2 linked regions of the Notamacropus eugenii genome follow. The protein of the gene in region 1 purifies or fractionates together with the protein of each later gene. This does not show direct contact. Links are inferred from orthologs where the notes say so. Each region holds a gene or a part of one and is shown in the gene's direction. Other genes may lie near its edges. The genes, in order: PPP1R15A and EIF2S1.

Region 1 (15,073 bases):
AGGGCAGGCAGGCTTACTAAGCACTTTTCTAGTCACAATTTGGGGAGTAAGGGAAGACAGGGTGGTCCCCAGGTATCTTCCTCCTTTCAAAGGTAAGAAAACTGAGATTCAGGGAGATGGCCACGGTCACTGTAACTGTGAGAGAACCTTGGGGGTGGAGGATGTAGGGGGAATGTCTGGGCCAGCTTCACAAGTTGAGAGAGCCTCAGGATTTCCTGACTCCACATCAAGGGAAGGGCTCTTTCTTCTCTCCAGAAGGCCCTACAACAGCCCTCACTCCCACTGAGGCAAACTAGCTACAATGCCCTAGAACTTCTGAAAGCCATGGGTGGTAAGAGAACACCATAAGCATCTATGGCCTTCCTCAGCTGGAGGCTCACAATGGCCTAAAATCTCCATAATGTCTTAATAAGAATGGTCATCAGCCAGCCAACTGGACTGACTGGCAGACTTTCCCCTTCCACATGTGACTACACAGGTCTGACCATGGACTACACAGGTTGTTAGTAGGGTAACCTAGGTAGGCCTGAAGCCTCATGAATGATGTAGTTCTCCTGTCTGCTAGGGTCACTCACCTTGGCCCTGAGTTCAGTGGCCCAGTGGTGGGGGCTCCTGGGAGGTCTCGGTGCCCCTGTCTCTGATGGTGGTGCCCGTCGGGGAGTGGAGGGCCTGGACAGGGTTCTTGAGGCTGGGGCCCACTCAGATAAGGGTCGGACATCGATCCGACTCAGTGGGGTATGGGGCCGGGTATCTCCCCCAACCAGAGCAGAGGGACGGTGGGCAGGGGCTGAGCGTGGCCGGGGAAGGCCCAGGGGTGATGGGGGCCTGGAGAGGGGAGAAAACAGCCTAAGGGAGAAGAGGAAGGAGGTTTCCTGAGATTGGGCCCCTTCCTCTCCAAACATCCCACCCCCATACAGATACACACTCACTCTGGACTCCTTGCCCTTTGTCTGCTCCTCTGGGGTGGCTCCATAAGCCCAGGTGGAGGGCTAGGAGTGAGTTCCCTGTGTCTCCCAGAGATCCTGGCCACCTCCAGGGATTCGGCACTGCGACCCTCTTCACTGCTTCCTACTTCAGGTGGTCCCCCAGGACCCCCAGGGCCTTCTCCAACTGAGGGTCTGGCAGGTGGGGTCTGAGGGCCGCTGCAGGGAGAGAAAAGGCAGACAGAGAGGACTGGGCTAGGGCTCACTCAAGAGCATTCCCAGGAATCCAGGGCTTCTCAGCACCTGCTGCAGTCATCTGGTTAGGTACTCGCCCCCTCAGCCCCCCATCCCTATGTTCAAGAATCCTCAGTGGCTTTCCATTGCTCCTCAGCCTGGCCCTGGACACCAGAGGACAAGAGGATCCTTCCAGGCTTAGCTCCTCTGCGTTTCGGTTGAACTGACCACTAGGCGGCGCAGCGGATAGGGCACTGGGCATGAGTCTGGAGGACCCGATCTCAACCTGCCTCTGACCCTGCCTGCCTCAGTTTCCTCATCTGTTAATGGCACCTGTGTTTTGAGGGGCTGCTTTGAAAACCTCAAAGTGCTCTCTCTACAAATGCTGGCTCGCTATCATCATTACTGTTCTTGTCTGAGTTCTGCCTTGGACAGAAGCGGGAAGTGATTCCTTCAAGTGCTGACTGCCAGGCAGGTGCTTTGGTGACATTCTGCTGGGGGAGGGGCAACAGCCAGGACTGGCAGTCTGAAGGAGGAGACAGGGCTGGAGCAGAGCCTTGGAGGAAGTCGGGGGTTCCATTCAGGAGAGGAGAGAGAGCCTTCCAGTGGCAGAGGACAGAGGCTGGCGAGAGGGACAGTGTGCACACACATGTCCACAAACATGCGCACATGCTTGTACATGTGTGCACATACACATATACACAAATACACTCATACACACATGTACACAGTTGATGCTCATATGCACTCATGTGCACACACTCACATACACTGCCAAAAATACATGCACACACGCACAATTCACACACATACGCATACATGTATGCACAATGCATGGACACACATGCTCACAATCACACTCATACACCCACTCATACCTGCACACATACATGCCATCACATGGACACCCTCATACACCTGTTCCCACACATGCACACATACATGAATGCACACGTATTCTTCCCTCTTTTCCACCTGTAGCTCTACGTGTTCTTCTCCTCCAGGGCAGTGACTAGCTTGCTTTCTTATGTTTATATCACCAGCCCTTAGTAGGACACCTGGCACATTGTCAGGCAGGTTTCTCCATTTGTTCATTCAGACTGAGACTCAGGTGGCTAAGTGACCTGTCCAGGATCATATTAAGTCTATTAAGTCTCAGATGTGAGATTTGAACTCAGGTCTCTGGTGACTCCAAGACCAGAGTAGTTACCACTATAAGCAGCAGCTTCTCTGAGAGAGCCTGGGGCAGTGGTAAGAAGACAGGGTCTAGTGTCTGAGGTCCTGGGTTCACATGCTTACTACCTGTGTGACCTTAGGCAGATTCTTCCATTAACTTCCTCGGGCTGGAGGAGATGGCCGCTGAGGTGGTTTTAGCTCTACATCTCTGATTCTTGGATTCTTGGGCAGGGGGCAGCTAGATTGTGCCATAGTGCACAGAGCACTGGGCATGGGATCAGGAAGCCCTGAGCTCAAATGCGACTTCATACACTTACATACAGTAGCTGTGTGACCCTGGGCAAGTCACTTCACCCAGTTTGCCTCAGTTTCTTCAACTGTAAAATGAGCTGGAGAAGGAAATGGCAAGAAAACCCCAGATGGGGTCAGGAAGAGTCAGACAGGGCTCAACAGCAACAACCAGCCTTAGACTGCTCCCCATTTTCCAGATGAGGAAGCTGGGGTGCAGTCAGGGACAGCCATAGAGGGGCTGGGATTCAAGTGGCGATAATCCTGCCCACACTTACTAGTCATCCCCTTCAGCTCGGGTGGCACGACCCAGAGCCCGCAGCCACCCGCGAAGGTCCTCCACCGTATCAGCGGCCAATACGTACGTTCTCATCCCAGGGTGCTCAGCCTGGGAAGGGAGGTGAGAAGGAGGGGGACATAAAGCTCAGGGAAGGAATTTTTGGGCCTGAAGGAGAAGGGCTGGCTGCCAGTTCTTGAGGGGGGGGGGGGGGTCAGTAAATAAGCATTGATCTGGTTCTCTTTGCCAGACCGATGTACTGGGTCCTGGGGCTGTGTGCTGACAGTCCCTGCTCTTAAGCAGCTTATGTGTGTGTAGGGGGGAGACATGCACAGAGCCAGCAGATTACAGAGAATAGAAGGTAAGGGGGAGGGGCAGGGAGGCACTAGCAGCTGGAGCAGTGGATACCAGGGTCCCCGAGGGGTTCTAGGGGGGAGAGGACACCAGGATCATCTCTAACTCACAGTGAAAGTGTAGCGGCGCCCCCGGGGGGCCCCAGGGCCATCTGGACGGACACTGTAGCTGGGGAGAGGGACACTGCCCAGGACACTCTCCTCCCGGCTGTCTGCAAGGGAGTCAAGGATCAGCGGTCACTGGGGAAGGTTTCTCTATCCCCATTCCAACCCATCCTTTGGACACTGACCCTTGTAATAGAAGAGGCAGTGGCCAGACAGGACAAACCAGCGCCGCTTCCAGAGCCGGAGGCCAGAGCTGTCCTGGGAGAGAGACCAGAGACACCTGAGTGCCCTGAGACAGGTGAAACCTCAGGAGGATGAGGTGGGAGTACAGTGAGACAGGCAGAGAGGAACCTGGGGATAGGGAGACAGAGGGACAGGGGGATGGGGAGACAGAAAGACATGGAGGGGACGGAGATGAGAGACAGTGAGACAAGAAGACACAGAGACACAGAGACAGGGACGGAGGACCAGGGCGAACAGTCATATTTTTAGAACCTGAGACCAGAGCTGTTTTGACAAATATTGGCAAGACCTGAGCATGTACCAGGAAATGGAGATGAGGTGAAGGGAAATAGAGTCGTGGAGGGTCACAGAGACAGAGCCAGCAAGACAGCAAAGATTGGGGGCAACCTCGGCAGCAAAGAGTGACAGTCACGGAGCAAGTGAAAGCTGGGGTCCCTCTGCAGCCAGTAACAGGGCATGCAACACAGTGCAGAGCCTAGGGAGGTGACAGACGAGGGACAGGCAGGGGCCCTAGCCCCACAGTACCTGCTTATGCAGCCAGCCTCGAATGTCCACAGGCAGGTTGGGGTCTCTGCGGAGGGAGCTTCCCCTTTTCCCAAAGGCATGGATCCGGCTGACTGCCCGAGGGGGCTAGAGGAGAGAGAGGCAGGAAAGGGACTGCCTGGGGGCACAGGGAAACCTCAGACCTGGAAGGGCTCCACTGTAGGGGAGGGAGGCACTTCTCATTCTCTTCCCTTCCCCTCATTGCGGCGGCGGGAGGGGGGGGGGGGGCGTGGTCCAGGACCGAGTGACTGCTCTACTGGCAGGGCAGGCTTAGGGTCCTGGCCAAGAGGAGTTGTAGGTGGGCAGAAACCCCAGATCTCATTCCATTCATTCAGTCCAATTCAAGGAGGCTTTATTAAAAGTGGCAGGCACCGTACTGGGAATAGAGACAGGCCTAAGGTAGTACTTGTCCTCAGGAAGCTCACCTCCTCTTTTAGTCCTGCTCCCCAGGAGCAGATGCCCTAAACTATTAGGATTTCAGAGGAAGCACGGGCAGAGCGACTCAAAGAGTAAGGAAAGAATATGAAAAGGAGGAATTGGGGGCTCTTTTCAAGAGCTGGGCACCCCCAGCACCTGGCTTGGGAAGGAATTGGGCCAGGGGACAGTCTCACACTCTGAGGTATTGGGTGTTTTCATGGCCCAGCTGCTGGTCCCTCTCCAGACCTTGGGAGCCCAAACCTTGACACAGGGAGAGGGAGGTCCACCAGCCCACCTTCTCCCCACCCCACCTCAGCCACCTGCATCACCTTGGTGCTGAGGCTGATGGAGGAGACAGTGGAGACACTGCTGGCCATGCTGAGGCTGCTCCGGGGCCTGCTTTCCTCCATGTTGGGGAGCCACTTGAAGAAGAAGAAGAAGATTGAGAGAGGTTCAGGAGGAGGAGGAGCCCAGGCAGGGTCAGTGACCCCAGCAGTGGGGAGGATAAGGAGAAAAGCCTCCTTGTGTGAGATATACAGAGTAGGGGGAGAGTTGGGGGCTGGGGGAGGCCTTGGCCCCCTGCCACATACCAAGAGGCAGTGCCAGGGGGTGGGCGGCTACAGCAGCTGCTAGGGGGGAAGCCAGAGAAAAGAGGCCTCTTTATGTCCAGACCACCCCCCCTTCAGGCCAAGAATCTGCCCCTCCCTTCATGCTTAGAGATCCACATCGCCTTCCCACCCCTTAGTCTGGCTGCCCTTGTAACTCCATCCTTCTTCAACCCCCAGTCCTGATCAAACATACCAACCCCCCCCCTCCCCAATTGTAGGAAGGAACCCAAGCATACCTGTGTCCCCCCTCCCCCAGGTCTAGAAACCTACCAGGCCCTCCAGATGAAGGAAGTGGGATCAGCACAGATCCAAGAGCACAGCTGGGTGTTCCTTCTTCAGTTCCCAAGTGCTCTCACTCCCAAGTGGCTCACCCTTCCTCAGCCTCTCTCTGCCTCCTGTCTCTTTCCTTTTATTTGTCTCTCACTGTCTCTCTGAATTTCTTTCGCTCTCTCTGTTTCTGTCACTCCCTGTGTGCCTCTCTGTGCATCTGTCTCTTCTCTCTCTGTCTCTTCCTGTTTTTCTTTCTCTGTCACTTGCTGGCTTTTCTTCTCCTTGTTTCTCTATTCTCCATCCACTTATCTCCTCCTCTCTCTCTCTCTCTCTCTGTCTCTCTCTGTCTCCCTCTCTTTCTCTGTCTCTCTCTCCCTGTCTGTCTCTCTCTGTTTCTGTCTCTCTCTCTCTTTGTCTGTCTGTCTCTCTCTCCCTGTCTCTCTGTCTCTCTCTGTTTCTGTCTCTCTCTCTTTGTCTGTCTGTTTCTCTCTGTCTCTCTCTGTTTCTGTCTCTCTTTCTTTGTCTGTCTGTCTCTCTCTTTGTCTGTCTGTCTCTCTCTCCCTGTCCCTCTGTTTCTCTCTCTCTCTCTTTGTCTGTCTGTTTCTCTCTGTTTCTGTCTCTCTCTCTCTCTTTGTCTGTCTGTCTCTCTCTCCCTGTCTCTCTGTCTCTCTCTGTTTCTGTCTCTCTCTCTTTGTCTGTCTGTTTCTCTCTGTTTCTGTCTCTCTTTCTTTGTCTGTCTGTCTGTCTCTCTCTTTGTCTGTCTCTCTCTCCCTGTCTCTCTGTTTCTCTCTCTCTCTCTTTGTCTGTCTGTTTCTCTCTGTTTCTGTCTCTCTTTCTTTGTCTGTCTGTCTCTCTCTCTCTCTGTCTGTCTGTCTCTCTCTCCCTCTCTCTCTCTCTCTTTCTCTCCCCCCCCTTCCCCTACTATTCCTCCTCTGTCTTTCTATGCCTCCCTCTCTCTCAGTCCCGGGTTCAGTCTCTCTCTCTCTCTCTAACTCTGGATTTCGGGATCAGCCTGCCCATACCTTCCTGTCTCCCTCGGTCTCTCTCCGCTCTCTGGACCTCTCCCTTTCTCTACAGTAGGTCCGTGTCTCTCCCTTGTTCCTCAACTCCTCCACCCACGCTCTTCCCTCCCTCTGGCCGGCCCCTCCCCTCCCTTGACCCCGAGGCTCCTCGGCCCCCACAGCTGTCTGGGTGGGACTCAAGGGGCTCCGCACAAGTCTCCTGGGTCCCCGAGAGTAAAAGGACTGGGGAGTCAGACCCCAGGCTGGCTGAAAGGAAGCATGCAGCCCGGCTGGCACGGGCAGGGGGGCTGGGGGCGGGGTGCAGGAGAAGGCTTGACCAGAAGGTTGCCCTGGACAGGCTGTCCTCCAGGATTGTTGACTGACTGACTGACCGACTCGGGGAGGAGGTTATACAGGTTCAGCCAGAAGGCTGGGCGCTGTGCTGTGACATTAATGGGATCCGAGGGATTAGGAGGGGAACCCGCCTGCTCAGGCCCCCCCGCCCCAGGTGCGGCAGGGACGGCAGGCTCATCCCCTACGAGGGTGACAAGGGGCTAGGCGACCGAGCCGCGATCCAGAGGATGGCCGGGCGGGGCGGGGCTGCTCCGGACTGCTCTCGGAGGTTCCAGAGCCCTGAATCACCTCCTGGGCGCGGGATCCCCGGAGCACGGGACCATGACGTCATCGAGCTCCCTGATCGCCCCGCCCCTCCTATGACGTCAGCCCTAGGGGATCCGAGCGATTCCACTTAAGGAAACTCCGCTCGGGAGGGAGTGGCAGCCTTGCGTTCTTCGTTTTCCCCCGCGCCCCCCCTTGCCTGACGTTGGTAAACTCCGCTCCGTGACGTCAGCGCGTCGTATATAAGGACCCGAGGAGCCGTGTTTATTTCAGAGCCAACCTGACCGGAGAAGCAGGAGTACACAGAGAGACCGCGGAGCTCTGGCCGGACATCGAGCGCAGACGCCGAGCCTTTGGGGTCCCCGACAACATGAGCCCTAGCCCCAGCCCGCCGTGGACACCGCCGTGCCCGTGGACTCCTCCGCCGTGCCCGTGGACACCACCATGCCTGTGGACACCGCCATGCCCGTGCACGCCCTCGCTGCCCCCAGGATGACGCGCAGCCCGGACCCTGTGAGTCCCGTGGGGACGGGACGGACCGGAAAGGGAGCCGGGGCCCCGAGGGGCGGGACGGGAGGGGGCGCCTGGACCCCGAGGGGGCGGAACGGACCGGAAAGGGAGCCGGGGCCCCGAGGGGCGGGACGGGAGGGGGCGCCTGGACCCCGAGGGGGCGGGACGGGAGGGGGCGCCTGGACCCCGAGGGGGCGGGACGGGAGGGGGCGCCTGGACCCCGAGGGGGCGGGACGGACCGGAAAGGGAGCCGGGGCCCCGAGGGGCGGGGACGGGAGGGGGCGCCTGGACCCCGAGGGGGCGGGACGGGAGGGGGCGCCTGGACCCCGAGGGGGCGGGACGGGAGGGGGCGCCTGGACCCCGAGGGGGCGGGACGGACCGGAAAGGGAGCCGGGGCCCCGAGGGGCGGGACGGGAGGGGGCGCCTGGACCCCGAGGGGGCGGGACGGGAGGGGGCGCCTGGACCCCGAGGGGGCGGGACGGGAGGGGGCGCCTGGACCCCGAGGGGGCGGGACGGGAGGGGGCGCCTGGACCCCGAGGGGGCGGGACGGACCGGAAAGGGAGCCGGGGCCCCGAGGGGCGGGACGGGAGGGGGCGCCTGGACCCCGAGGGGGCGGGACGGGAGGGGGCGCCTGGACCCCGAGGGGGCGGGACGGACCGGAAAGGGAGCCGGGGCCCCGAGGGGCGGGACGGGAGGGGGCGCCTGGACCCCGAGGGGGCGGGACGGGAGGGGGCGCCTGGACCCCGAGGGGGCGGGACGGACCGGAAAGGGAGCCGGGGCCCCGAGGGGCGGGACGGGAGGGGGCGCCTGGACCCCGAGGGGGCGGGACGGGAGGGGGCGCCTGGACCCCGAGGGGAGGGACGGGAGGGGGCGCCTGGACCCCGAGGGGGCGGGACGGGAGGGGGCGCCTGGACCCTGAGGGGAGGGACGGGAGGGGGCGCCTGGACCCCGAGGGGGCGGGACGGACCGGAAAGGGAGCCGGGGCCCCGAGGGGACGGGACGGACCGGAAAGGGAGCCGGGGCCCCGAGGGGCGGGACGGGAGGGGGCGCCTGGACCCCGAGGGGAGGGACGGGAGGGGGCGCCTGGACCCCGAGGGGGCGGGACGGACCGGAAAGGGAGCCGGGGCCCCGAGGGGCGGGACGGGAGGGGGCGCCTGGACCCCGAGGGGAGGGACGGGAGGGGGCGCCTGGACCCCGAGGGGGCGGGACGGACCGGAAAGGGAGCCGGGGCCCCGAGGGGCGGGACGGGAGGGGGCGCCTGGACCCCGAGGGGAGGGACGGGAGGGGGCGCCTGGACCCCGAGGGGAGGGACAAGACTCCTCAGGGGACGGTATAGTGCAGGAAAGGGGTTTGGGACCTCTGAGGGGACAGGACTGGACGGGGGCAGGGGCATTAGGGGATAGGGAGCTGGGAACTTCAGAACGGAGAGGGAACGGGGGGCTCTCTGAGAAGATGAGGACCAGAAGGGTCCAGGGGGCCCTTGGATCCTCAAGGTGAGCAAGGAGAACTCCCAGCAGGGAGGGCAGGCAGGAAGGAAAAGGTTAAATATTATTAATGTGTGCTGGATGCCAGGTACTGTCCTAAGTGCTCTATAGGTACGGTCACAATTCTGAGAAGTGCTCTTATTCTCATTTTACAGCAAACAGAGGTTATGTGACTTGTCCAAAGTCTCACAGCCAGTAGGCTGCTGGAGGCTGGATTTAAACCTGGGTCTTCCTGACTGCAGCCGCTGAGCCTCCACTGCCTTGTAAGTGGTGCTTGAGGCTCTCAGAGGCTAGAAACGCCCGGGTAAAGCACACAGGTCTAGGTGAGGTAGTTGGTGCTTGTTCCTCGTTCTTGAAGAGGACCATGACATCAGGGAGGTGATGCCATGACATGCAAGTGAACTGATTTAAGTCATTAGGGTGACGGAGATGGCCCAGGATGTGGTAGGAAACCTTGGTCTTTTGCAAGTCTCAGTTTGACTGAGGCAACATCCATCTAGTGATGAGGGCTAGGTAAACAAAAATGAGACAAAGAACCTAGGCCAAAAAGAAAAAAATCGAAGTAGAAGGAGAAGACCCTCAGAGTTTCTGGCCAAAATAGAAACAATTCCTATTTTTACATTCACTCTGAGTCAATCAGAGTTCAAACAATGACTAAGTGGGGTTTGGCTTGGAACCTACTGTTGGCCAATCGGTGAAAAGCCAGAATGATTTGGGTTAAAGGCATGGTCCTGAAGAAAGAAATGTAGCCTGTATACCCCAAGATATCTTACAAAGATAGGAGAGCCAGAGTGATTTGGGGTTAAGACTAGCCTTTAAAAAAAAATCCAAAACTCTAGGGTAGGTGAAGGGTAACTGGTTAAAAGTGCTTAGGGCCACAAGGAATGGGACCTTAAGGAGAATAGTCAGGATTGGAAGTCTGGGTTGGCCAAATGCTTGGCTTTCTGTTTCTGTCCTGTGACTCATGCCAAGGGAAGTCTAATTTAGCCTGTTTGGTGCCTTCTTTTGCAGCCCAACTCTGACCTGGGACATAGTACTGGCATCTCCCTGGGAGCTTCCTTCAGGGGCAGCCTTTTTTCTGACATTCAGTTACTTTTGGCCTGGACCTGGTCCCAACTATGGAATGTGGGACTCCAGCCCAAGCCTAGAGGAGAAGCAAAGGATGTGAACCCTGAAGCTAGAACTGAGGAAGAAGAGGGCCCCTTCAATCAGGCCCCAGGACCTTGGCCTGAAGTCAGAAGAGCTCAGGCCAGCTCTAGCCTCCAGAACTGGGTTGGACAAGTGAGGAAAGAGGGTGACCAAGGAGTGGCTGAAGGCCCAGCAGACCTTGAGTCTGGAGAACAGAAGGTCCATGATGGAGCATCCAGGAGAGAAGAGCCTGGAAATAGGCCCACAGGTCTGGTCCAACGAGATGATGGGCAAGACAGGGAGCAAGCAGCGAGAGGCATCCTCATGCCTGGAGAGAACAAGGGGAATGAGAATGAAGAAGGAGAAGGGGTGGGAGATGAGATAATGCCTGAGGCTGAGCAAAGCCTCCCTTCCCTTGTGGACAGCTGCCCTCAGGGGCTCTGGCCTTTGGCCTGGCAGCTCAGAGAAGAGGCAGAGGAGAGGGGAATTGGGGGAGCTGAAGAAGGTGATGGCAAAGGAGGATCCAGCAGCCAGCCTCATCCTGTGCTCACCAGCCCCCTGCTCAGGGCCTGGGCCTACAGACCTGGAGAGGATGAAGGTGATGAGGATGAGGAAGATGTATCTGATGGGGAGGAGGGAGCAGCCAACCAGCCCCCTTCTCCTATGCTCACCAGCCCCCTGCTCAGGGCCTGGGCCTACAGACCTGGAGAGGATGAAGGTGATGAGGATGAGGAAGATGTATCTGATGGGGAGGAGGGAGCAGCCAACCAGCCCCCTCCTCCTATGCTCACCAGCCCCCTGCTCAGGGCCTGGGCCTACAGACCTGGAGAGGATGAAAGTGATGATGATGATGAGGATGATGTATCTGATGGGGAGGGGGGAGCAGCCAACCAGCCCCCTCCTCCTGTGCTCACCAGCCCCCTCCTCAGGGCCTGGGCCTACAGACCTGGAGAGGATGAAGGTGATGAGGATGAGGAAGATGTATCTGATGGGGAGGAGGGAGCAGCCAACCAGCCCCCTCCTCCTGTGCTCACCAGCCCCCTGCTCAGGGCCTGGGCCTATAGACCTGGAGAGGATGAAGGTGATGATGAGGATGAGGATGAGGATGATGTATCTGATGGGGAGGGGGGAGCAGCCAACCAGCCCCCTCCTCCTGTGCTCACCAGCCCCCTGCTCAGGGCCTGGGCCTGCAGACCTGGAGAGGAGAATGATGACCAAGAAGATGCTGAAGGAGCTGTGTGCAGGGCAGGCCCAGGGCTGCAGGTCTTCCGTGTTTCCATCTTTGTGCCTGGGGCTGAGCAGCCATCCCCCTGGCCCTCACCCCAGCTACCCCAGAGACTGAAGAAGCGCCTGAGGCCCCGACGGACCCCTGTGGAGCCAGAGCCAGAGTCCCCTCCAGGCAGGAAGGTGAGGACCCACCCTTCACAGGGGAGGCTGGGTAGATGGTAGCCAGGCAGGTCAGAGCTAGCTACAGCATCACAGATTTGTTTCAGTCCAGCTCAAGGGAGACATGGAGGCCCAGGGAGGTTAAGGACTTGCCCTGGGCCACACAACTTAATGGGATTTGAAACCAGGTCCTTGTGATTCTGGGGCCAGTGATGGGTCCCTTGGCCATTCAGGCTCTCTATGTCATATGAGTTTAGCAGAAGGTGGATGCAAGTGAAATTCAGATGCAGGTGCTGAGGCTGCTTTATTTACTAAAAATTTGTAAAGGGGCTTAGACCAATGCTTGGTACATAGTAGGTGCCTAATAAACACGGTTCCTTTCCCCTCCCCCTTTACTTTTGTCATTCCCCCAAAACCATGCGAAAGAGACCTGAGGACTAGTACCTTGCAAAACTAGTTAAGCAGAGGAGGGGGTGGGTGGGGAGGGGGCATGAAGGGCTGTCTGGAGCCCACTGTATCTGCCTCACTCACGCCATCCTCTGGCTGCCTCCTTCCAGGTCCGATTCTCCAGCACCGTGGGCCTTCATCTCCTGGCGGTATGGGCTGGGCCCGCCCGTGCTGCCCGCCGGGGTCCATGGGAGCAGCTGGCACGTGATCGGAGCCGCTTCGCTCGTCGTATCACCCAGGCCGAAGCCCACCTGGGCCCTTGCCTGTGCCCTGCTGCGCGGGCCCGAGCTTGGATGCGTCTCCAAGCATTGACCATTTCCCCTCAGTCTTCTTCCCAGGGTGGGGAGGGCCCCTACCCCAGCCCATAACTCATTCTAAATCAGCCTAGGCTTAGAACCCTAGAAAGAAGCCCGGATCCAGGCCTTGCTCAGCCTTCTCTCCCCCTTCCCTGCCTGTCAGTAGGCGGGTGGTATATGTGTGCAGAGCCTTCTTGAGGACTTATGGGTTATGAGTTAATTCCAGGAAGTCAGGGCTAATTGGTTACCCTTGTTTTATCCCTGATGCCTCACATAGTATACTTTTAATAAAGATTTGTTGAACATACTTGAATTTTCTTTATTTCTTTTATTAAAAATTTCACCAATCTCTGGGGTCTCCATCTCTGATCACTTTTCCCCAAAACTCAAACCTCCAAGGGAGTCCAGCTGGTGGAAATGAAGAACTGGGCCACAGGCAGGTTGGCTTTGGGGCCAGGGTTGGGTGAGGACTTGGGGGTTCCCTAGAGATTGGATCTCCTCAGCTTTCTAGTTTGGTGCCTGGAGCTGGGTCCCAGGACACATCCTCTGATGGTCCTTCATTTGCTTTATCCCCTAGGTTTTGGAGAAGAGATTTGTGACCATATGTCCATGATAAATGGCCCACTTAAAATTGGAACTCTGAATTGGTCATTGGGGGCTGGGGAGGGGAGAGGGCTGGCCTCATAGGAGCACACACTTGAAAGAGACCCCAGACAGAGGTTCTTTAGGTCCTCCACTAAACACTTTTAGTAGAACCAGGATCCCCTCTCCACAATACCTGCTGGACCCCAGCTGACTCCTCCAACAGTATCTTGTACTCACTAGGAACTCCCCCCAAACACCCAGCTTGTATGTATGGTCTCTGCAAATCCCTCTGGCTCCCTTCCCTTCTGCAGCCCCTCCAAGCCTTTGGAGCACACAAAAATACCTAATCTCTTCCACAGGAACCTCCAGTATATGGTCCCTGAGCTTCCTTTCTCCTGGCCAACTGTTTCTATTTCCATCAGCTAATCCTCACGAACTGATCGATCTCAAGACCCTTCCCCCTTCTGATGGCCTGTTTTAGGGTACTGCAGTTTATTAATGTAGTGCTCACAGCTGAAGACACAATGACCCCAAGACCGTGACAGAGCCAAGAAAACAATGGGTTTGGGGCCAGAGGTCTGGGTTTGCATCAGACAGCTGTATAACCTGGGGCCAATCGCTCCCCGTCTCTGGGCCTCAGTTTCCTCTCAAGTAAAACCAGGCAGGCCATTGTACTAGGCAGCTTCTGGGTAGCAGGCTGTGGAAAGGCTGGCTGTCCCAAACACTGAGGATGCTCAAGCCGTCTTCCTCCTCTCTCCGTTAAACCGCCCGGGCCCTGGAGAAGTGGGTAGCTGGAGGGACTCTTGACTCCCAGATATGGCTGGGCTGCAACCTTACCGAGAGACTCCGACAATTGGGAGTCCTTCGGTGTTTCCGCGGCGTTCGGCAAAGGCTAGGACTACAACTCCCAGAAGCGCCCTGGGCCGATTTTGCGGAGAGAGCCCTTGTTTTGGCCTCGAGGGCTGCTGGGAGCTGTAGTCCGCCTAGGTGCTCCCGGGAGGTGCACGCCACAGGTTTGTGGGGAAAGAGGCTGGCCACTCCTGAGTCAGCGCCGAAAGGGAGCCTGTGGGGCGGAGCTGCCGCCCTGGGTTCCTTTCCCCTTTCCTGTCTCCATGGCAAAGGCATAAGATGGAGTAGAGGATGGCAGTGGCTGCGGTCAGCTTCCCTCTCTCCCCTCCTCCCCTTAGCCATCTGCTGTGCCCAACCCCCATTTCCGCACAGCACCTGCCCGGAGCCTGCCTGGTCCAGGCTTCTCCTCATCCTTAGCGCTCGTGCCTCTGGGACTCAGGAGTCCCTCAGGCCGAAGTATCCTCCTCGGGCCCTTAACCTCGGAGGCGTCCTCCCCCAAACTCTTCGCTTAAGGGATTGCCTTCAGTTCTTTCCTTTCAGAAACCCACGCGGTTCCCAGTCTCCTTAGCCCTCGGACCTAAGCGCCGGGTGGCGCTTGGGTCCTCTTCTTCCCTGTCCGGAATTGTGCCGGTGACGGCTCCAGGGGCACAGTTTGAGGACTGCTTGGGCAGATATGTGGACCAAAGACAGGAAGTAAGTCTTTATTGAGCGCCTACTGTGTGGCAGGCACTGTGGTAAATTATCTTATGTGATCTTCTCAACAACCTTGAGAAGTAGGCGTTGTTATTATCCTCATTTTACAGTTGAGGAAACTGAGGAAGACAGGGGTTGCGAGTTGCTCACCGTCGCACAGTTTAAGTAAGTGTCTGAAGTCGCATCTGAGTTCAGATCCTCCGGAGTTTAGGGTTCTACCCACTGAGACTCCTAAACTGCCTCTAAACATATGGAAGAGAGAGGTGGAGAGAGACAGATATGGGCGAGAGACTGACAGGAGAGAGACAGATCGGACAGAGACAGCAATAGAAAGAAAGAGACAAAAGACAGAGCCTTGAGAGGCGGGGCTCCACTCTGAGAGACAATGGGAAGTCCAGAGAGACAGAGTCCAGAGGCAGATTCGGCTATAGAAGTGGAGGTATTAGACACAGAGACGAGTTCCTGGGGAGACAGAGAACTTGGGAAGGGAGGGAGGTCTGAGAGGATGCTCCTGTAAGGTTTGGTTGGATCTGACCTAGAGAGTTCACCCCACACGTGTCGCGCTCCCCATCCCCACCCTGAGGCGAGAGCTACAGACAAGTTCATACATATTTAATTCCCAAGCGCATTAGGCCAGTT
Region 2 (14,574 bases), on another chromosome or scaffold:
TCTGAATAACAGTGGTACTATAAAGGGAAAAATACATTAAATTTTATTTTAATTTGGCTAAATTTTAATGAGAAAAATTAACCTACATGATCCCAATATTTCTAATTTTTACAATAAACTGTTAATGAGAGTATGGATTGGGGCTTAATATTAATCACCGAGTAACAGCAGCCAGAAGAATGAGGACAAATCTTCCCTCCTGCCAGGGGAAGACTTCAGAAAATAGATACTGAATATTATTATTTTTTTAAATCAAGAAAAAAAAATAACAAATAATTTGGGAAGTAAAGTAAATATTATGCATCTATAATTATGTCACTGAAGCTAAAATATTTTCACTTGCATAAGAGATATATCTATATGAAAAATACTCTGATGCTACCTATATTTTGATAGTAAATGGTATGTAAGCTACATTATACTATTCTTTTCTTGCAAGATTTGGTCATCAAGAAGCCAATTAATAAGTGCTTCATGTTTCTATCCTGAATCTTATCCAAATGAAATGCTGTAAATTTTGTTAAGACAGGACAACAGGACTCTGTGGGATTCCCAAATCCACTTATGAAACATATAAATTATTGTATTTATAAAATAACAGTTCTCCAGTTCCTTCAAAGCGCCCCCCCCCCCCCCCCCATCCCTTTACCATTCTATGCCTCTATTCAACACTTATTCACTCATTCTCAAGATACCATCTGTCCTAAAGGTCAGTCCTGAGTAGCTTTCCTGTCAGAAGTATTCAGAGTTGCAAAATTATGGAGTCTAGTATTCAGCATGACACATGTTAATACTAAGAGAAATGTAGTCATTTTTTAGGCCAAATCCCCTAGACGAGAAAACAGGTCTAGAAAACATAAGACATGTAACTTGTCACCCAGTCAATTCAAAGCAGAATCAGGATACAAATGGAAGTCTCTGGACAGACCAGTCTATTCACAAAATCCATGTTTACTCCAAAGGCTCTAGAAAGCCACATACAACTTTTTATCTAAAGTCCTCTGTAGATTGTCTCACCTGAAGTCACCAGCTGTGAATTTGGCTTCCGCAAGTGAGAAAGCAGCTTCTCGCATCACTTCACCCATCAGCATTTTGGTCTGTCAAGAATACAAATCAAAAATGGACAAAACTAAGTTGCTTATAGGCAAGACTTACTCTTTAATAAGGTCAGAGTGGAAAGAGACCCTAGGGGTCACTTAGTCCAGACAAAGGCCAGGAGCTGGTCATCTGTTCAGTTACTACAATGGTAGTAATCATAGCGACAGAGTCGGAAATCTGATCACGTTGGTTTTTCCACACTGCGCCATGCTACCAGCTTGGTGCTCTATAATGCCATGAATTCTGTGTTATCAATGTAATAACATCAGGGCCAAAAGATTTATTCACATTTTAGCGTCAGATGTTTGGTTTACACCACCAGAGATGTCAGAGAAAAATGAAATTTTAAAAAATTGTTTTATTGCTGTATTTTTACATCATGGTCATTTCCTATTAAGGTCCTCCATGTTAAAAACAAAACGATTAAGCCAAGTCAATTGACAGAAATTATATTTGATAGTGTATACTAAATTCCATATCCACAGTCCCCAGTGCTTTACTGAGACAAGGTAGAAGCATGAATTTTATGAACCACCAACCTTCAAATTTAACTACATTAATGTAGTACATACAAGGATAAGAAATTTGATGTGTCAATATACCTTTTTCTCAAACCATTTTCCAATCACTAGTAAGCAAAACTGACCTTTTGTTTTCTTTCCCTCTACTCTTTCTCTTTCTAATGAAAAGTGAGATATTTAAGTCAGGAAACAATAACAAGACTAACAATAATTTAGAACATAATCAATCATACTGAATTTTCATACTCTCGTGAAAACAAACTTCTGATCAAGAGTAAAACCTATACTTGCCTCAATGATCTTCTTTAAGATCTGCCGAAAACGAAGAGTCAAGGCATCAGATTTTTTCTTTAGGAGGTTTCGGCCTGTCTGTGCACCTTTTAATCGAGCCTTCATGATGGTCTGTGCCCTAAATTCAATAGAAATAATTATAGTCATACAAAATTCTTAATATCATCTAAGATAACAAGATCAAGCACAAACATTTCCCAAACAAATTAGCAAAATTACACTCTACCCCACTTTGATGCCACAGTATCTAAATAAGATTGCCACGCAGACTATTCACCACTTGTATGTGAAAGTTTAATTGATTTTTCTAACTCTATAGGTCCATATTTCTATGCAGCCTGTAAACATGCCATAGTTATAATGGAGAAAGAACTAAATTAGAACTGAAAATACTCCTTTTGCACCTGCAATTAGTTCTGCCTAGTTGTAATGGAATGTAAATGTTTTTTAAAGCCAGCTTAGTCTAAATGATGTGACTTGTACAATAAATTATGTTTTCTGTGCGAAATTTTCAATTGCCTAAAGATATATTTTTTAAAATCAGATCACAGAGTGCTTGGAGATCTTCACTTAAGACCCTGAATACCAAACATTATATAATATGTTTAATTTTAAGGTTCTAAAGAAATGTGAGCTATTATTATTATAAAAGCTAACAGATGTACAGTAAATGTGGAGTTGCCTAAATAAGAAGTTAAGATTACATGACATTTTCCTTCCCATTCTCTTCTTCAGAACAAAGTATTAGTTTAAAAGAAAATAATAAAAATGATTATTCCAACTTTGCTATCATTTAAAGTAAGTTTTATCATTAAGGTCAATGACATACAAGATTAGTAATCAATCTAATCAAACCTAAGGACTCAAATTGTTTCATGAGAGAAGGTATACCTGTATGACCTTGGCCAAGTCACTTCCCTTCTCCGGGTCTCAGTCTCCTCATCTGTAAAGTTAGGGGGCTGCACAAGATGACCTCATTTATAAAGTAAGGGAGAGTTGGACTTGGATTAGATGACCTCTAAGGTCCAGTCTAGCTGTAAATCAATGATCCTAAGCTGTTGCATGTGACATAAATGCTGAATCCAAAATATATGTTTTTTCTTCTTCTACTGGTTTTCAAAAAAAAAAAAATACAAACAGAAATACCATTGGAATCATCATTAGCTTTAATGGTAACAGCGACTGGTATAATCAATGACACTAAAAGAAAAATGCCAGAGGCTAAGTTCTTGAGTAAATATGAGAATTTGAACTTCATAAATTAGAGGTGAGAGGCACCATCTCTTTACACTATAAAGAGAATAATTTAAGTTTTTTTTTAAATTTCTGTCTTTTAAAAGAATTAGACATAATTTCCAACTCCATGAATGAACTAGATCATGAACTAGATCAGAATTAGGTCCTGCCAAACAGGACTGGTTCAGTTTCTTGCCTGAGCAGGATTTAACCATCTGAGTGTGTACAAATTCACAAACCACCCTGTTTACATTCAGAGTCAAAACTATTTCAAACATGATTTCACCTTCTGATAGAAACCACAATGTAGCCTTACAGTCACTGTTGAGAGTCATGTTTTAACACAGATCAATCTAGCAAAATTATTTTTTCACCAAATTCTAAAGTAGTTTATTGGAGTCTATTAACCAAGATAAACAAGAGTTTCAAGGAGAAATTATTTTTATCAGATGTTACATAAGGCAGGGACAGAGAAAAGGTATAGTTTTCAGCACAACAAGAGAGACAAAAGTCAGACTGCAGGGGAATCATGAGGTAATGGATGTAGGAGGTGGAGGGTATTCTTTTTAGATGTAACTTGATGGGCACCAAATATTGACAGAAAGAGATGAAAGTGAGATACTTAGCACAAGAAAACTCTTTTGCTTTCCAATAAACTCTAGTAATTTCTCTAGTCAGCATTTTAAAAGTACAAAACAGAGAATGTGTTCTTGCAAACTGAATTCCTAATGGTTAAGGCACTGCTTTTATCAATTATCAAGAGGAGTTCAGGCTGCTCAAAATAAACTTCTATTAGAGCTTCTTAAAAGCCAAAGCTAATTTGCCCAAAGCCTAAAAAACATTCAAGAAACTTTCTAAGTTTTTTACTATTTTTCTTCAAATTCAGCCTGCCTCTAAGTAAAGGACCTTACTTTGAACTGAATTCCTTCTTAACTGGAGCATACAGGTTAGGCCATTATACTGAAAAGAGCACAGGATTTGGAATAGAGAGTTTCTGGGTTCAAATCTAGACTCTACCAATAAAAGGCAGTGTGTGTAATCTTAGGAAAATAACTTAACCCCTCAAGGGGATAATAATAGTACTGACCTCCCAGCATTGCCGTAAAGATCAAATGTGACAATATTTGTAAAAAAAAACAAAAACAAAAAAACTTAACACAGTACTTGACACATAACTCACACTAATAAATAACAGTTATGATAATTATTTTTATCCATAAAATGGGGAGGTGGAATGTGCACCTAAAGTCCATTCTAACTCTAAATATCATAGATAGATGCTTTATTTCACTCATTCTATTTCCTATAACATTAAGAGTATCACAGGACTATAACATTTTGACAGATTAGTTTTCTGGAAGTACAACTAAGAAATACAACTTCTAGATCACAACCTGTTATGTTCATAAGCTTGTATTATTATCCTGCACACTTTAAATGTTTTTATTTTTCTGGCAAGAGTGGGTAAAAGTACCAGCAGCATGATTTCACAACACGATGAAACGCATAAGAATAGCTAATACTATCTATGATGTTTTATATATACAATCTCATAAAAAATCTGTGAAGAAAGCATCACAAATGTTATTACTCCCCATTTTTCAGATGGAGAAACTGAGGTTTGGATAAACAAAGCTTGCCCATAACACTTACAGTTAGTAATTGAAGAGGTGGGACTTCTATCCAGACCTCTAGTGATTGTAACTCCAGCAATTTTCCCATTACTTTCCATTTCTGCTAATGAGTTACAAATGTGTACATGGAGTTCTTTATTCTGAACTGCCCAGATTTTTAAAATGAAATCTCTTAATTCCACAGCACTGCCACTTTTAACTGTAGTCATCAGCTTGCACGATGATGGCTTTGTTTCCAGCTGAATCAAAGACATCTGACTACATGACAAAATGTCGGCTGCCAGCCCCTGGAAAAATTAATGTGTTCTGACAACAGATTACCCCCTGTATTTGAATCTTTTTCTCATCAGCAGGCCCACATGCATACACATCATTCAGTAATTTCCTCATTCACACAACTAGCAATTCATAGTCTAAAACTGAAGAGGCCAATTTTCATGTCACAACTGTTAAAAATATAGATGGTTTGGAAACTAAAAGAAAGACAGATATAATTCACTGTAGTTGTAATTACAAAGAATTCTCTGAGAAGGGTGGCCAAGAGTATATTCTTCTCCAACAGAAAACAGCCCACATTCTTAACAAGGCTATTATTCTGGCCTTTGAAGGGACTTCATTTTCTGACTTTTGCATCTTAAGAAACTTTCTAAAATTACTATTTAATATCTTCTTAAGGACGCACTTAAGGAAGTATTGGTCAAAAGTCATCTCATTCACAAGAAGAGTAGGCAAAAACTGTATTGTAAGATCACTGGTCTCAAAATCAAGAATCCTCAATTCCACTTTGTACTTGGGTGACCTTGAGCAAGTCAGTTCTCTCTCTCTCTGATTCTTAGTCTCCTCATGTGTAAAATGAGCTTGACTATTTGGCCTCCACCTTTCCAGTCTTAATATTCTGTGAAATCAATCCAGCACGCACCACAGTATAGAAAGAAAGGTATAAGTAGGCTACTCACAAGAAAATAACAGTAATAATAAATGATAATAACTAACAACTACATAATGCTTACTATTATAAGTCAGGCGACATGCTACATGCTTTACAATGATTAACTCATTTGATCCCCACAACATCTATTTGAGGTAGCTGCTGTTATACTAATTTTATGCTATGGCAAACAAAGGTAAAGCTCAGGGACAACTAGTAAGTGAGTCCAAATTTGAACTCAGGTCTTCCTGACTTCAACCCTGGTACTCTATTTATTGGGCCGCTGAGCTGCCCCAAGTTCTAGCTTGGATTCTTTGCAATATAGGTCAATATAACAGAGGTGGAAGATCTCAAAAGTCAGCTAGTACTTTTATGAATAAGGAAACTCCTATAGGCCTCTATTGCCTCTAGGACCCAATATAAATTTAAAGCCGTTTACAACTTGACTCCAACCTGTGTTTCCAGACCGGATTCCCGGTTATGCACTCTAGACAGGCACAGTCAAACTGGCCTTCCTGCACTTCCTCACACAAAACATTCCTCGGTTCAGGCTATTTCACCAAGCCTGGAAGGTATTCCCTTTTTACCTCAGACACTTAAAATTCCTAGTTTCTTTACAGCTTAGTTCAAGCACGAGGAAAAAGTTTTTTTCCTAATTCTCCCCAAAGTAGCCTACATCTACTTTTTTATACACAAAGAAGGGGAGGCTAGGCATACTGGATAGAAAACTAGCCTCAGAGACATCAAGACTTAGATTCAAATAATAGTAACAACAATGAACATTTAAGCAATGTCTACTTCTGTGCCAGGAACCGTGCTAAACCCTTAACAAAACTATCTCATTAGATCCTCACAATACCTTGGGAGGGAGTGAATATTATCATCCCCACTTTACAGATAAGGAAACTGAGGCAAACCAAATGACTTCCCCCAAGGTCATAGAGCTAGTAAGTGTTTGAGGCTGAATTTCTACTCAGTGCTTTTTTGGGGGGGGGGGGGGTAGGAAAGGGGTATCAGCAGGTGTCCATTCCTTGTGTCTAGACAAACCTTAAAGAGTTAATGAGTGAAATGAAGTCCCGTCTGACACACTGTGCCGATGTGGAAGTCACTTTACCTCCTGGTACCTATCCCAGGCAACTCTCTATGCCTGTAACTAAGTAAAGACACAGAAGATGCCTTTATGCATTGCTGAGGGGGCGTAGTCATTCAAAGTTCCCTATATCCATAAAATCATTTATACTTTATCTCAGTTTCTTCTTATTCCTATATACCTATTTGTGTACCTGCAGCTTCCCACAACAAAATGCAAGCTCCTTGAAGTATTTTTATCTTTATATCCTCAGTCCCCAGAAATATGTTTTTAACAGGGCCTATAACTCACAATGAAGGAAGTACTCCGAAAAATCGGCAGAGGCTCGTCACCTTAAGTCTTAAAGCGAGGCCCACACAGAGCAGACCGCTTGGAGGCTCAGAGAGGTAAGTGACCCACCCAAGACCACAACATAAACAAGAACAACTGTGGTTTACTCCAAATCCCGAATTCTTTCCACTACACCACTCTATGCTTTTCTTTTTTTCTTTTCTTGCCCTTCTGTCAAAAGGACCAGAAAAGGAAAAAAAAATACGCTCCCCTGAGGCCCTGCCAAGTTATTGGGCGTATTCTTAGACAAGAGAAAAGAAAGTGTAAGTGATTTAAGCTCTTTGTAGGGCAGCGCAAGCACAAGATATTACCACCATGCGGGGTTTAATGAACCCCGAGAGGCCAGCCCTGGGGCAGGCGCAGTTCGGGGCCCAGGGCCGGGACGCCCCGCTCCCGCCGAGGATCGCATACGGAGGGTGGGAATAAAGGGGTCCTACGGTTCAAGGGGAGGACCCTGGGGGCAACCTGAGAAATCAAGCACCTCGGCACCGATGCGGAGGGGGCAGGAGGGCACTAAGAGCCGGCGAAGGCCACTCACATTCGCGAAGGGAAGATATCGATGCGGTCTTTGCCAGACATGGTGGCGGCAGCTCGGTCCCCGGGCCTGTCACCTCTGGTTTCGAAGCCGCCGGTCGCTGCCGATGGCCTCCTGCACTACCTCCTCCTCCTCATACAGTCAGCTGGAAAAGGTCACCTGATCACCTTCGGCGCAGGCTAAGCGGAAGCGGCCTCGGGCAAACCTTTTCCGGTTCCGTCCGCTACTGCCGGGGGCGGGCGGGAGAGAAAATGAGGGGAAGGGAGGAAATGCCCGGATGTTAGTGACAAGGCGCGCACCCCTCGAAACCAAAAAATAAATAAATTTTACACGCCTGCATCGACCCCTCCCCTATAATTCTCCCCCTCCTCCCGCGGCGAGTGCACTAAGCACGACCAGCGGCGTGAAAAGGAGGGGTGAAGAAGTGGAGGGGGGAAGAAGACATCACATCTGCTTCCGCTTCCACTTTCCCCACAGCGCCACCTTACTGTCGGAAAGAGTTTGGGAGCAGTTCATTGATTCAGCAAAGGGAGTCGGGTTTTGACGCCCGTTCCGAGCGGTATCCTCGGGGAAAAATAAGCGGAAGCGACAAAGTGTGCAGTCTCCCCCTCACTTCCCTAGCGCCCCCTCCCTCCCGGGAAGACTAATACTCTATGGTTAAATAGAGAAAAAAACAGGCCTCGCCGACGTCGGCGCTTGCGTCAAGTGTGAGGGGTGACCGCGCAGGCGCAGAAAGACCGGTCTCAACACACGCTGAGAGGAAGCGGCAGCAGGTTCTGGTGCGGCCCGAGTTCTGGGCATTTCCCGGAGTGTAGAGAGCAGCGCGGGGACCCGGTTCGGGACCCTCAAACGCGTATTTCAGGTGACTCCTTCTTCCCTTTCAAGCCTCCCCCCCATTCCTCATGGTCGAGGAAAGGCAAGCGAGTGGCTGCCCCGGGCCGGCCACCCCCTACCATCCTCTCTCGTTGGGCCCTTCCTCGCGCGGGAAGCAGCCGCCCCATCCCGCCACGCACCGGCAGCCGCCTTGGCCTCGTGGCGTGGCGTGTGGAAAGCGGCCGCTTAGGGAGGGGAGGGGAGACGGCTCGGCCTCGGCCGCCTCGCCTCGTGGGCTCCCGGGGAAGGCCCGGCGGGGGGTGTGGCCGCCGCGTCTGGAGAGCTCTGTGACACCCCCACTCCCTCCGCACGCTACCGGCTCTCCCGGAACGATGACCCCGGCGTCCGGGTCTGCTGGTCTGCCCGGCTTCCGGGCTTTGTGCGCCAGTCCTCCCGGGCCCTTCCTTCTTCGCCCGCCCTGAAGACCACGCCAGACCCTGGGCCGTGCAGCGAGGCCGCCGGCTCCGTGCTCCTGGAAGAACCGGGCGCTGCTCGGTCCAGCGTCTGAAAGTACCCAGGGGCTGGTGGAAAAGCACCTGGAAAGGGCGTGAAGGAACCAGCGAGCCGTCTGGGGGTCCCCTGCAGAGCCTCCGTTTAATTCTACGGCACCTTGAGTTTTATAGAGCTCACCCTCGAAGTAAGAGGGGTGAAGAAACAAGTTACTCTTTTCCTTTAGGATCAGGCGTTTCAAACCGGAGAAGTACCTCCGGGTCAGATGAAAAACTGGCTCAGGGAGCTGAAGTGACTTTGAGGGAGGATCTGGTCGGCTGTGCTGGGATTTTCGAATTCTAGAATGTAGCATTTGCAGTTTTGTTTTTAAGCACAACAATGACATTTTTACAATTGCACACAGTTTCCATTCTGTGATCTCTTAAAATTTTTCCCGAGAAAGTCCTCCTCTTAAATGTGGTATTGATTATTTCCCCTGTCTGAAAATTGCTAGCAGTTTATTTTGGGTAAGTAGCACAGCGGATAGAAAATTGGCCCATGATCCCAGGAACCTGAATTGAAGTCTCACCTCTGCCACATGCTGACTGTTACTGTGAACAAGCCACTAAAAATCTCGTGGTGTTCTAAGCAACTCTAAAACTTAGTTGCAGAGGATTTCCTTACATCAGTAAAATCATAGGTCTAGCCCCTAGTTATATAGTACATGTTACTTTTTGTACATTGGCACTCATTCTCTCTCTCCTTTCCCCTTTTTCCCTCCCCCTCCTGTTCTTTCTACTTCTGATAGGACATAAACTCCTAAGGGATAGACCATTTTTTAAAGCTTTGTAGGTAATAAGAGCTTAAATAAATGATGGATGATTGAATTCCATTTTAAATTTAAAGGAATGTCTAAGATAACTTTTTTCTCCCTTGAATTTTCTCATTAATCACTTTTTGCCATTTGAAAAATGAAAATACCTTAATTTCAGCCATTTGGGAATTTTTTTTTCTTAATCTGTTTTATGATGGGTTAACTTGTATAGTGCTCATAGCTTATAAATCATCTTCAGATCTATACTCTAATCCTATAAAGTATTATTAGCCCTATTTTTCAGAGAAAGAAGCTCGCTAAGCAACTTTCCCAAGATCCCGAGACTAAGTGGCAGAATTGACCAAAATAACCAGTCTGCCATTGAATGCCAAGGCATCACAATTCTCTGATTCAAAAGAATTTATTAGGTTGTTTGATGTGCAGTAGTATCTGTGTAGGATTTGGTAAGGCAGCAAACTTTTATCTGTAACAAAATAGCATATTTCATAAATAGAGGCCGTGTGGTGAAATAGATAGACTGCTGATCATAGACTCAGGAAGACTTGGGTTCATTTACTTTCCTACACTACCTTTGTGACCTCTGAGCAAAAGTCACTTAGCCTTGTTATGCTTCAGAGAACTCCCTAGGACTTTGAAGTAATGGATTTCTTGCATTCTGTATTGTAGAGGAAGTTCCCACATTCATTGGATTGTGATGAAATAGAGATGATTGTGGTGTTTTCAAGTAGATTGGAGAGTGGAAAATAATCATTTGTCCGTACTTTCAGAGGATTAAAGTACATTTTTATATTGCTAGTTTGGGGCCTGAAAATATATGAAAACACATGGGAAAAGTTTGACCTGAAGATAGATTTCTCCTTATCAATGAGCAGACCTTTCAGCAAGAGACAGAAAAATCACAGCAAAAAAAGAGACCTGGATTAATTCCCAAAGTGAGTTGATATTGGGGGAAAAATTGTTCGTAGTAAAAACACAGATTTTTGTCGAAGTCAGATAAGTGGAGTAAAAAAAAAAATGCTGTTCCCTATTTGAGATGTCTCCAGTTTTTGTATTAGATTAATTGGTAGTGTTTTTCTTGTGTCACTATACAATTATGAAGGGAGCAAAATTCCTTTGTATTTAAGGATTGTTGTTGACATTCTAGAACAGATATATTAGCCAGGAGAAAGCTGCTATGAAATTTATCCTACTATTATTCTTTTTTGTAGCTCACTTGGTAGTGAGCACTATAGAAGCAGAATATTGAGAATCTGTAGGTTACTGGTTCGATTCTATCTTAAAGGAAGTCCTAATTTTAGGAAGGAAGCATGTGGTAGTAAATGAAAACCCATAAGTGGACTTAGAGTAAGGTAACCTAAGTTTGAATCCTCACCCCATTACTTAAATTCTACTACTACCATATGCAAGGTGATAGGCAGTATGGTAAAGGACTGACTTTGGAATCAGAAAGATCTGGATTAAAGTCTTACTTCTGACATTTATGTCACCTTTGGTAAATCAGTTAACCTTTCCATGCCCCAGTCTGCTCTAGGGAATATAGCATGAACACAGCTAATTTGTGTGCAAGGTACAGTGGGGATAGGAGCATAGGAAAGATCCAGACACAGTACTTTTAAGAAAACTTGAGGGAGAAATCACTTGAAGCTGGGAAGAAAAGGATTTTAAGAAAGGTAAAGAGGAAGTGTATGTGGCTTACATGAATTCTTATTAATTACCAGGAATACCTTGTAATCTAGTTTGGCTAGAACATGAAAATTAGTAATAAATAAGGCTTGAAAATTAGTGTGGAGCCAATTTGTGAAAGACCTTAACGGTCAACCTGAAATCCATTTAAAATTTTTGAGCAAGGAAGTGGAATGGTTCATGTGTATTGGGGAGGTTATTTTGACAGTTATGTGAAGGATGGTTAGAGAGGGAGAGACTTTTGTTCAGGCAAGAGGTTATGAAGCCCTATCACCTTCGAAATATTGGGAATTGAGAGTACAAAGGTTTCAGCATCTCCTCTAATGTCTATCATCTTACAATTGATGTTAGTAATAAAGTAATATAGAAAATATTATCAGGAGAGTAGTAGTCCCAGAGATAGTTACTGTTTTACAAGTATTGCTATAAGAACCAGAGAGTATCCAAAAATGGAAACTCTGGAAACCCTTGATGCTAATTCTCAGGAGAAAGAAGCAGAATGGAAAAATAAAAGCCATAAGAATTAGGGAAATGTCATTATGCAAGGCAGGGTGAACAGCTGCAAGAAACAGGAATAAAAGGACAGCCAAAGAAAATTTTGCGAATTATATGGAAGAGACTTCTCACTGCACCGAATAGAATGTGTGACTTGGTTGCGTGATTTTAGCCCCAAGTCTTGCAAACTGGACGAAGATGTCTTCAACAAGTAGTTAGTCCTTATCTTCAGGCATACACTCTCAGGTTCACTAGAGAAGAAGCCTGATGAAAACATTGCAGCTGCAGTACATTAATCTTATTCAGTAAAAATGTTTACAATAACTTGGTTATATTAGGAAGGGAGGGGTTTGGACCATGGTTTGTGTTTACAGTTAAGTAGGAGTAATGAGAAAAGTGGAAGGCAAGACAGTATTTAAAATAAAATTGGAGAAAGGGACTTGTATCTGTGATATTGAGTGTAAAAAAGTGAGAGGAGGCTGCAAGATCACAACGTAGATGTATGAACAAATTCAAGTGGCAAAAGGTTGGAAGGAAAAGTGGCATGTGGTTTTTTTATTTGTTTTTTGTGGCATTTAATTAAGATAGCCCTTCTACGTGTCTGAAATTGGTTCCTTGCTTATGATAATGTTATCATAACCCTTTTTCCTCCTTCTTAATATACATAGTAACACTTGTTTTCAGAGAAATTAAGACTGGGATGAAGGGGTTGTCTTTTGGTTGGATTTTTAAAATATGTATTTAAATATCTATGCATATATATGTATATACATACATAATATACTCCGAAGTATATTACATAATATGCTCTGAAGGAAGAGTGGTTCTGGTTTTGCTGCTTTGAAAGACTACAGCATGTTTATAATAACAATACTGTCCTACCCATGGTTTGATATTGCTTAAAGTGGGAGTATTATAGTACTTTACTACTAAGCAGTACCTTTCATCCTTAGTTCTCAATGTTTTACAGACACTAATTATTTTTTACAATATCTCCTTGAAACTAATGGTAAAGACACACCTACGTGCCACAAAAATCTTTAGCAAAATTAGAAATAAAAATTTGTTTCTTGACAGTGCTTACTCAGAAAATGGTTAAAATTTGGAAATAAGAGAGGAAACACATTTTTCTTTTTGGTGGCAAGATATAGAAATTTCACATCTTAAACTTAGAAACTTTATGTTGGCTTCCATATGATAATTAATTTTGGTTCTTTCACATTGCAGAATGCCAGGTCTAAGCTGTAGATTCTACCAGCACAAATTTCCTGAAGTGGAAGATGTGGTAATGGTGAATGTACGTTCCATTGCTGAGATGGGAGCTTATGTCAGCCTATTGGAATACAACAACATTGAGGGCATGATTCTTCTTAGTGAGCTGTCTAGAAGACGTATCCGCTCCATTAACAAACTCATCCGAATTGGCAGAAATGAATGTGTGGTTGTTATTAGAGTGGACAAAGAGAAAGGTAAGTTAAAAATGAAATGGGAAATTGTTCTTGTTTTGAATGTGGGAATCATGGCTTTTGAATATTTTTATAAATTGTCTACTTCAGGTAAAAAGTGTTGCATACTTTTTTTTTTTAATTAGGGTGTCTTAATCAACCCTCTTTTATGATATATTTCTTTGACTCCTTTAATAACCTTCCCCTTCCATCTAAACATTAAGGCAATTTTAATTGAAGAATGGGAGGCCTGAATTATAGAATTCACTATCACAACTTGCCTTATCATTCCCACATGCCTGCATTTTCATCCCTATCTTCTTTCCACAAAGAAATAGCTGACACTAAATCCATGATGTCTTCCCTGATTGAGCCAACTAAAAATGATTTCTCTATACTCATATTTTCCAAGAAAATTACCTGCATCTTTCCTTTGCATTCATCATCACTCCATCTTTATACTTCTGCATACATTTCATATAGTTCCTAAGCTCTTGCGTGGCACTATCCTGGTTTTTCGCCTATGTATTCCCATTGCCTTGCAGCTGGTAGGTACTTGATAAATATCGGTTGGGTAGTTTAGAAGATGTGGTAATGATGAATGTTAAAGCAGTCAAATGACATTAAGCATGAAAACCTCATATTCTAAGCAAGAGGATACAGCATGTACACGTCATTATTTACAAAATAAGTAAACAATGATTTGGGGGGAAAGTACTAACTAGCAGCTGGAGAAGTGAGGAAAGACTTTATATAGAAAGTAACGCAAGAGAAGTAAGGAGTTCAGCCTGTGCAAAGGCAAACATCACAGGCGCTATGGAGATGGAGCACCAGTGTATGAGAAACAGTAAGAAGGTTTGTGTGTGTGGAGGGAAATAATGTGTAATCAGACCAAAAGGTTAGGATAGAGTCAGTTTGTGAAGGTGACAGGAGTTGCTGCTTTATCCTAGAAGTAATAAGGAACCACTGAAGTTTTTTGAGTAGAATAACATGATGAAAACTGTTCTAGGAAAATCATTTTTGCATCAGTGTAGAGGATAGTTTGGAAAAGAGAAAAACTTAAAGTAGGGAGACTAATTAGGTGGCTATTGCAATAGTCTAGGTAAGATAAGGGCCTGAACTCTTGTGTTGTACAATTGTGTCCTACTCTT

The links.
Region 2: the proteins of PPP1R15A (region 1) and EIF2S1 purify together in Homo sapiens (affinity purification with western blotting; 4 studies listed by BioGRID and IntAct, with this or other methods). This does not show direct contact. The link is inferred for Notamacropus eugenii from reciprocal best matches to the Homo sapiens genes PPP1R15A and EIF2S1.

What each region holds. Positions count from the first base shown.
Region 1 is NC_092876.1:12,626,370-12,641,442, reverse strand, and holds PPP1R15A (protein phosphatase 1 regulatory subunit 15A), read left to right. Parts: upstream 1-7,331; 5' UTR 7,332-7,500; coding exon 7,501-7,569; intron 7,570-10,061; coding exon 10,062-11,585; intron 11,586-12,121; coding exon 12,122-12,379; 3' UTR 12,380-12,614; downstream 12,615-15,073. Other genes in the region: PLEKHA4 (pleckstrin homology domain-containing family A member 4), read right to left, coding at 576-846, 930-1,142, 2,900-3,009, 3,363-3,463, 3,542-3,614, 4,125-4,229, 4,889-4,969. UniProt on the Homo sapiens protein: Recruits the serine/threonine-protein phosphatase PPP1CA to prevents excessive phosphorylation of the translation initiation factor eIF-2A/EIF2S1, thereby reversing the shut-off of protein synthesis initiated by stress-inducible kinases and facilitating recovery of cells from stress.
Region 2 is NC_092872.1:312,853,586-312,868,159, reverse strand, and holds the start of EIF2S1 (eukaryotic translation initiation factor 2 subunit 1), read left to right. Parts: upstream 1-8,330; 5' UTR 8,331-8,525; intron 8,526-8,676; coding exon of another isoform or gene 8,677-9,338; exon of another isoform or gene 9,339-9,341; intron 9,342-13,205; 5' UTR 13,206-13,206; coding exon 13,207-13,447; intron 13,448-14,574. Other genes in the region: ATP6V1D (V-type proton ATPase subunit D), read right to left, coding at 1-17, 1,018-1,097, 1,911-2,028, 7,667-7,707; uncharacterized protein, read right to left, coding at 7,805-7,889, 8,677-9,338. UniProt on the Homo sapiens protein: Member of the eIF2 complex that functions in the early steps of protein synthesis by forming a ternary complex with GTP and initiator tRNA. This complex binds to a 40S ribosomal subunit, followed by mRNA binding to form a 43S pre-initiation complex (43S PIC).